Oryzias latipes: one gene and its partner. The protein of the gene in region 2 interacts with the protein of the main gene of each other region in a biochemical or structural test. Links are inferred from orthologs where the notes say so. Each region holds a gene or a part of one and is shown on either strand. Other genes may lie near its edges.

Evidence for each region. The genes of interacting proteins can lie anywhere in the genome.
Region 1: the proteins of reps2 (region 2) and epsin-1 form a complex in vitro, tested with the Homo sapiens proteins (3 studies listed by BioGRID and IntAct, with this or other methods). The link is inferred for Oryzias latipes from reciprocal best matches to the Homo sapiens genes REPS2 and EPN1.

What each region holds. Positions count from the first base shown.
Region 1 is NC_019874.2:19,874,788-19,878,891, forward strand, and holds the start of epsin-1, read right to left. Parts: upstream 2,802-4,104; 5' UTR 2,649-2,801; intron 2,642-2,648; exon of another isoform or gene 2,415-2,641; intron 1,963-2,414; 5' UTR 1,877-1,962; intron 1,628-1,876; exon of another isoform or gene 1,555-1,627; intron 1-1,554. UniProt on the Homo sapiens protein: Binds to membranes enriched in phosphatidylinositol 4,5-bisphosphate (PtdIns(4,5)P2). Modifies membrane curvature and facilitates the formation of clathrin-coated invaginations. Regulates receptor-mediated endocytosis.
Region 2 is NC_019862.2:28,744,837-28,748,348, reverse strand, and holds part of reps2 (ralBP1-associated Eps domain-containing protein 2), read right to left. Parts: intron 2,424-3,512; coding exon 2,290-2,423; intron 796-2,289; coding exon 690-795; intron 1-689. UniProt on the Homo sapiens protein: Involved in ligand-dependent receptor mediated endocytosis of the EGF and insulin receptors as part of the Ral signaling pathway. By controlling growth factor receptors endocytosis may regulate cell survival.

The DNA.
Region 1 (4,104 bases), on a different chromosome or scaffold from region 2:
ATGAGCTTTAGAGGGAAGCGTCCATATTTTTTAAAAGAATCGAAACACATGCAGCTTACTAGCAAGTCCTTTAAAACTTCAAGAGGTCATTGAATTAGGTTGTGAAAAAGATCTGTTACTTAAAGTTCTGTAAACAACTTCCCTTATTTCACCACTAACAGCTAGAAACCAAAAGAAAACAATGGTTATAATAACAATAAACTGTAATTATAAACACAGCTTTTCTAATAAAAGCATAAGTTTAGGTACAATGTCGTTAAAACCTACAATGAGTCAAAAGGACCAAAAAGTAAGGCTGAGGAGTCTGGGGTCAGTAAGCTGTTGTTTTTATTAGTGCTTTCGTTTTTAAAATAATCACAGACATGACCTAATCTGTTTTACTTCATGCTATGCATGATTATGTGAAATATTATGAGGCCCACCGTTTCACCCCAGGCCATTCCCTCTTGTGTATCGTTTGTTCTCAATTGCTTGCACAGCAGGTTAAACCATAGTTGCTGACCAGATGTATCCTTTCCCTTTTGTACTTTCCCTAACAACTAAAACCTCAACTTTTGGTACAAAACCACAACAACAACAAAATGGATGCAACAAACCCCAAATTTTCTAGAGATGCAATTTGAGTTTTCTTAAAAATGAAGAGGTGTGATGCAAAAAGCAGCAAATTGATAATTTCATTAATAGGTGGTCATGTAAAGGGTCTTGAATTAACTCCAATACTACATTGTTTTTCATTTGTATACAAGTAATGGTACGAGAAGATCAGGCTCATTCATCTATACCAACTGTAAAGAACACGCAACAAATATATTTATAAAAAAAACAAATTTAAATGGAAATGACTGATTATGGAGTGATACTAAAGGGATTACAATTTCAGAGTCCACCAACAGTTTGACTAAAAACAGTGGATTATGAAACATCATGATCCACTTTTTTGAATGAATAAACCATCAGCATGCTAAACTAAATATTGCAGCTAAATGTTACAGTATCTCCACACACTTAACATTTGTAGTAAAAGGGTGTTTTATTTTAAGTCACAAAAAACAACAGCTTAACCCTAAATCTTTTAATTTTGAGAGACGAAAAAGCTAATTTTGCATTATTTTTGCTAAAATAAGAAAGAAAAAAAACACGTCTTCATTCTCCCCCCAAACCTTTAAGAACATATTGTCTATCACGCTTCCCATGCACTTAACAGAATAGTGCAGTTATTTATTCAGGAAAATGTTGGCAAGCCTAACATGAACTACACCTATGTGACATAACACTGACCTGCATAAAGATTGCCGCCACTTTGTTAACTTCTAATGACAGCAGCTGATAGCAGGACCACTCCCTCAACTTGCTAGTAACATTGATAAAACTAAATTTGCTCATGATTTTAAGCTCATCTATGAACATTTACTGACAACTTTGATTTATGATTATTTTTACAGCTTTGACTTCAATCTCAAAATCTAAATTTTGAAAAACGCGAATTTCATTTAGTGGTTAACTATTTTTTAACCTTTGTCACTCGCAGCATGGCTGAGCAAAGTACAAACACACCTTGTGTGTAAGGTTGAGGTTCTGGAATATGTTGACACTGAAGTTAAGCAGCTGGAAGGTTCAACTTGTTCTACTAATAAAAACAAACAAACAAAAAAACATTCAGCTCAGTTACATCTCGGGAAAAAAAAATCGTAATATTTTTGGCAATATTAAAACTAACTTGGCTAGTAAAGCTAGAACTAATATAAGATAATACATCCAGGCCACAATTTAAAACTTAACATTAAAAAAGTGAGAGCTCTGGTATTAGCTTGATTGAAACTTTTAATTTAATTCAAACTAACATCAAGTAGCAGAGCTGACACTGAACTCAACTTACTTTCAATTATTCCTCCTCTCTTGTGTTATCATGCAGTTGACGGTGCGCAGGCCCGTAAAGAAAAGGTTTCCATCCAGATAACTAAACTGTAGATAAGCCAACAACCGTTACCCAGTCAGACAAAATTGGATTTTGCCTGTCACACCTATTAAGTTAACAAGCTAAAGGTTGGCTAGCAACCTAATATTAATACACGTTATGCAACTCTTAACGTATGAACGCCTTTAAAGAAGCCAAATAGGTACAACACCATTCAGCAATTATACAGAATACTATGGTGTCGCCAAGTCTTTATGTGAGACAAAAGTTAAAAACAAAAAAAAAAACACGTAACTAAAAGTAGCTGTCATTTTATGGCTAACATTAGCTAGCTAGCATATGGCTAATCGAAACAGTTTGTCTAAGTAAAGTCTAGGTAAACTATTAACTTGGGTCCACAAGACGGGAGCAAAGAAGCGGGCTAACTAATGCAAACCAAATAGAAATCTTCACGTCATATCGCTGACCCTCAGCAGAGTGAACACGAAGGTAACGTTACCTGACAGTTTCCCATACCAAGAAATCACTTGCTGCTCCTTGAATGTAACTGTTAGCTAGCTAGCTTCTGATGCTAGTTCGTGAATGCCATCTGACTGCTTTGTTGTGCGGCATTTAAAACGCGTGTTCTGCTGCGGGGGAGTGTTGAAGACACTCATCAAAAAGTCATATGGGCAAAACTGTTGGAGATGCAAACAAAACAATAAATAAATACCTAAATGAAGTGTGTACTAACCCTGTTGCAGCTTGAATGTACGAGGAGATGGCCGAATTTCCGCTTCCGTGCTTCCTTACAGGAAAGACCGCACCCCCTGTAGCTGTGTTTTCATCATGCCATGCTGGTATAACTCATGATTAATTCATATACTTTTCACACCAGTCACAATTCAAAACAGCCCAGAAACAAACATAAAAATGCATTTTTTAAATTTTATTTTGTTGCACAAACCTTGTATTAAAAATCATGCCGCATTTGAAGCTGTTTAGTCAAAGGAAAGAAAAGTAAACACGAAGTCCTCCATTGATTAAATAAATGTTCTTCTTCTATTGTTTGTTTTGTGCACGTGTACGAGAGCCCTGCCTTCATTTAGGTCAACTAAGAAGAGTGAATATAGAGGAGTCAATTAGAGACAAAAATAGCTAACAAATAGCAGTGCCTATTTTTGCAAAATTTTAGAAGCATAATAACCTTGGTTATCCATCAAACAGAGAAACTGAAAGCAGAGTATAAAAATCAAGAACTAACAAGGACAAATGGTAACAGAAACATCAGTTGAAACTTTCACTTCCTTTATTATTTATTTGTCTGTGTGCATGTTAATTTCTTTTTTTCTTTCTTTCTTTTTATTTTTACATAATTGAAAAAATGAATTGATTTAAATATCTTTTAAATTGTAACAGAGTACACCTTAAATATATTGATTATTTTTACTATGTGAGTATTTTGTTTATTTTTAAAAATGCAATGAATGATTTTGTCCACAAAGAGGCACCATTGGACTACCGTATGTCTTGATTTAAACGAAGCCACAAAAAGCCTGTGGCCCGTTAGTGGAGCCATAAAAACCAAACAAGAAAACAGTGTTGAAAGTTTAGTTCAGGATTTTTTTTTAATCCCTTTATTTAGAAAAATTGCAATTTTGTCATAATTTACTAGGAGACTATTTTTTTCTTTTTTTTTTAACTCACCAACAAGATGGCACTATTTTTATTTGTTGTACAGAAAAGACAATGTTTAATTGTGACTTTCAATCATCCCATTTCATGCTCTCTATGTCACATTTTCATCTTATTCAAAATCTACTAGGAAACTGATGCAGAGGACAATTTGCATTCTAAATCCTATTAGTAACTAAATGCCACTAATTCTAGCTCTTGTTACTTGATTAAACCAGTGGATGATGTCACCATCCTGTTTGTTTCTTCTTTGTGCTCATTAAACTTGTTTTTTCTGTTATTATTCTTATAGCAGTTCTTGGTACTAGTTGTTTTTTTTGTGTTTATTTTATTACAATTATATTATAGGTTTTAAGGAGAATGCATCATGTGCCTTAAGGACAAAAAAAACAACAAAGTTTTTGTTAAAGAAGTGAAAAGCTTCAGCAAATTTGACAGTGTAACAGAAGATGTTCCTTATGCAACTTCCCAGTAAGTGTCAGGAAAGCTCTACTAGATCCCTCATCTGAGCCTAG
Region 2 (3,512 bases):
GGGGATGGAGTGAATCTAAATCATCCCAGTTGACATTTTTTCCAACAGAAGAAGAAAAAAAATATATTAAAATAATCCCCTCCAGTGAAACCAGAGTTGATCAAACTGGAGAAATGTGTTGTTTTATTTTGCGGCGCAGCCTGCGTTGCATGACAACATTAAAGGCGTTCCACGTGAGCGTGAAAGAGCACGTACAAGCAGAATGACAGGCATGCAGCATGTGTTGGTAATGTGAGTGAGTGTGCCACAGGCGGATCTGCAACGTAAACAGCCCAGTCTCTGTCATTAGTTCAGCTTTGAGTGATGGCGGGGGGGACACACACACACGCCTGAGCTCGAAGCTTTTCACTAAGTCGAGGCGGTGAAAGAAAAGGTTTTTCTGTCATTTGCAAACGAGCCGACCTCAAATTCCCCCACAAACAGGAGCACACTTTTGTTGAGCCGCAGAATACTGTAGTTTGCTGTGACAGAGGTTCAGGTCGGGGCGCCTCCCCCCTCAGCGTTGGAACCTAGATGATCTAAAGTTACATCAGGCCTTAAGGGGTCAAACGTGCAACCTCTAAGGTCTGCAGGTCTGTTATTCCCATCCTGGTTTTCCAGAGAGGGCAAAGAATGAAGAAGCAAACCCAAACAAACACAGTCTTACAGGAAAATGTTCTGTTGATCCAAAAATCAAAGAGTCCCCCTACCTTAAGTTGCTGTTGCAGCTCACTGTTCAGGCGAGTCAGGACGGCGTTAGTCTCCCTGTTCTTACGGATCGCCATCTGGATCGTCCTCTTCTGCTTGGACTGCAGCCTGACAGAGCATCAGAAGAATCAGCAGATGAAACGTGCGTGCTCCTCCAAAGGATCGGCCAACAGAGGGCCGCCTTCGCTCCGGAGCCGCCGTGGTTATTGATGGTCCCTGTTTACTGCTCCGATAGTTTCAGCGAGCCGTCCGTCTGCTCCGAGAGGAGACGGACCCACACATGCTAGAGTCATTATGGTGAATTAGTGCGTGCCTTGATGTCGGCTGAATCCCCCTTTCTGTTCAGGTTTCATGGGTTTTTCAAGCTGACTCAAAGGTTCGCTAAACAATCCCCAAGACAGCATCAGAACGCCTCATTTTCCAAACTGCATCCGAACACGCACACATCCCAAAGAATCCAAAGAGCTGAACAAATGAACAACAGTGGTTTAGCTTTATTTATTATTTTTCTTTAAGTTGGACTCAAGAAGGATCTGGTTTGCTGCTTTCTGTCCAGAACGTGCAGCAAACGCAAACTAGAACCAACAGTTTTTTAAATGAGGGAACATTCACAGACTATAAAGACTCTTTCCAAATAGAACTCTGCAGCCATGAAAGGAATTTTTAAATGCTTCCATGTATTCAACAGTCAGTTATTCCTCAACTATCAAATGACAATAATGACATGTCAAAATGTTCCTGTAAAGTTTGTGAGCAGCACAATCTAGCCTTTAGCTTTTTTTTAACCTTTTCTTTTATGATAAAGTTATGGTTGTGTTTGTTTTTCATAGACATTTTATGGATTTGTTCTTTATTGGTCAAATAAATGCATCACTTTGGTGGCTTTTGTTTATGTAAAATAGTTCATGATGAATTGATAAACATAATGAAAGAAATCTGCATTACTTTGAATATGTAAAACTCTGCTAAATAATTAATGCATGAAATTATATGTTAAGTTATACATTTATAAAGTTATCCAATTAAGCATTTAAAGCAAGTTTTTAGATAGCTGATCTAAAAGCATAATTGTTTAACTAAAAGCAGATTGAACTGCCAATATGTGGAAATATGTTTAAATTTGCTAAAGGATTTCTTTTATAAAAGAAAGTCTTTCAGTTTCAAATTAAATGCAATAGTGATTACAAGCAAACCGACTGTTCTGGTTTTTGTTTTTTTGGATCAAGTTAAGCCATGTCTCTATTAGAGCTAGTTCTGTCCCTCATTCTTTGTTGTATGGGGTGTTTATTTTTATAAGAAAATCAAAAGGAGCTGAATAAAACACATTGTGTGATGAAAGATTGATTTTTTCACAGCAGGTTTAGGTTGGTCACATTTAAGTTTTTTCACATTTAAGTTTCCACTGTTCTGTTTCGGATTCAACCAAAGTCCTGCCTTTGATGACAAAAAAGCGCCAAGCGGAGGAGGAGAACGACCTCCCGCTTTAAATGGGACTGAACCAAGTCAAAAAACACCCAGATTTCATCGGACTGACCCGCTGTTGCAGCTTCAGCTACTGAAGACAGAATCAGCAAAGATTCAGGCTACAAGTGTTGGACTCACTTCTGAACCGGCTTGTCCTGGAGGGGGAACGGCACGGCAGGTGGGGGGATGCCCTCAGAGTCTTGGCTCTCTGCATGGTATTTCCTGCGAACTGGCTTTTGTGGTGCCTGGCTGTGACACGTCCCAGAAATGTCCTGAAAAAGACATCAAGAAGAAAAGCACAAAGAGAACCGGTGTTAGGTTCATTTAATGTTTGGTTAGTTTACCTTCAAATGGAGAAGATGCTGCTGGAGCCCAGAGATGCAGAACTGCCCTCATGCCCCTTATCCTTTCAACACTACTGCACCCCTTCACGCCATTCGCCACTAATTTGTGATGTACCACAAAATGCAGGACTTTCTCAGTTTGGAAGTGAACATTTCTAGAAGTCACCAAGTTTTTATCCAATTGGTAGATATTTTTCTTTAAAAAAAACAAAACTGCTTTTTTGAGTTTAAGAATTTTTGACACATTTCTTTTTTTAGAGAGAACCACTAGTGCTGGGTTGATAGAACCGATTAATTGATCTGAATTGATCCAAGATCAATAATCGATTCATAAAATAGAGATGACTCTTTCCTTTGACCTAACGCTACTCTCACAAGATTTTGTGATATTTGGCGAGATCAAGCTTTGAAATGATCATGGTGTACAACTGTAAACTGTTAGAAATTTTCCAAAATATTGACGGCAGGTTCATGTTCACTTTACTAATAGGCTCTGATACATGTACAGTGGCTGCATGTTCTCCCTGTGCATGCGTGGGTTTTCTCCAGGGACTCCGGCTTCCTCCCACCGTCCAAAAACATGCTTCATAGGTTAATTGGTGACTCTAAATTGTGCATTGGTGTGAATGTGAGTGTGTGTGATTGTGGCCCTGCGACAGACTGACGAGCTGTCCAGGATGTCCCCTGCCTTCACCCACAAGTGGCCAGGATAGGCTCCAGCAGCCCCATGACCACAAAAGGGACAAAACGGTTAAGAAGATGAATTTGTAGATGATTTCCCATAGGACGGCTAATGCTAACGCTCGTTCGACCTAAATATACACTGCAGACTAAATGAACAGCTTTGTAGACTCACAGGCATGAACTCTTTTACGGAAGCATTTTTTACAGTAACCGCTTGTGGTTTTTTGCTCAAATCTTCTGGGGTAGAGTACAATGCTGTAGCTACAGCGCCAGCTCCACCTAGTGGTCAAACTGAAACACCCTCCAGGAGAGGCAGAACATTTATTTAGAGCC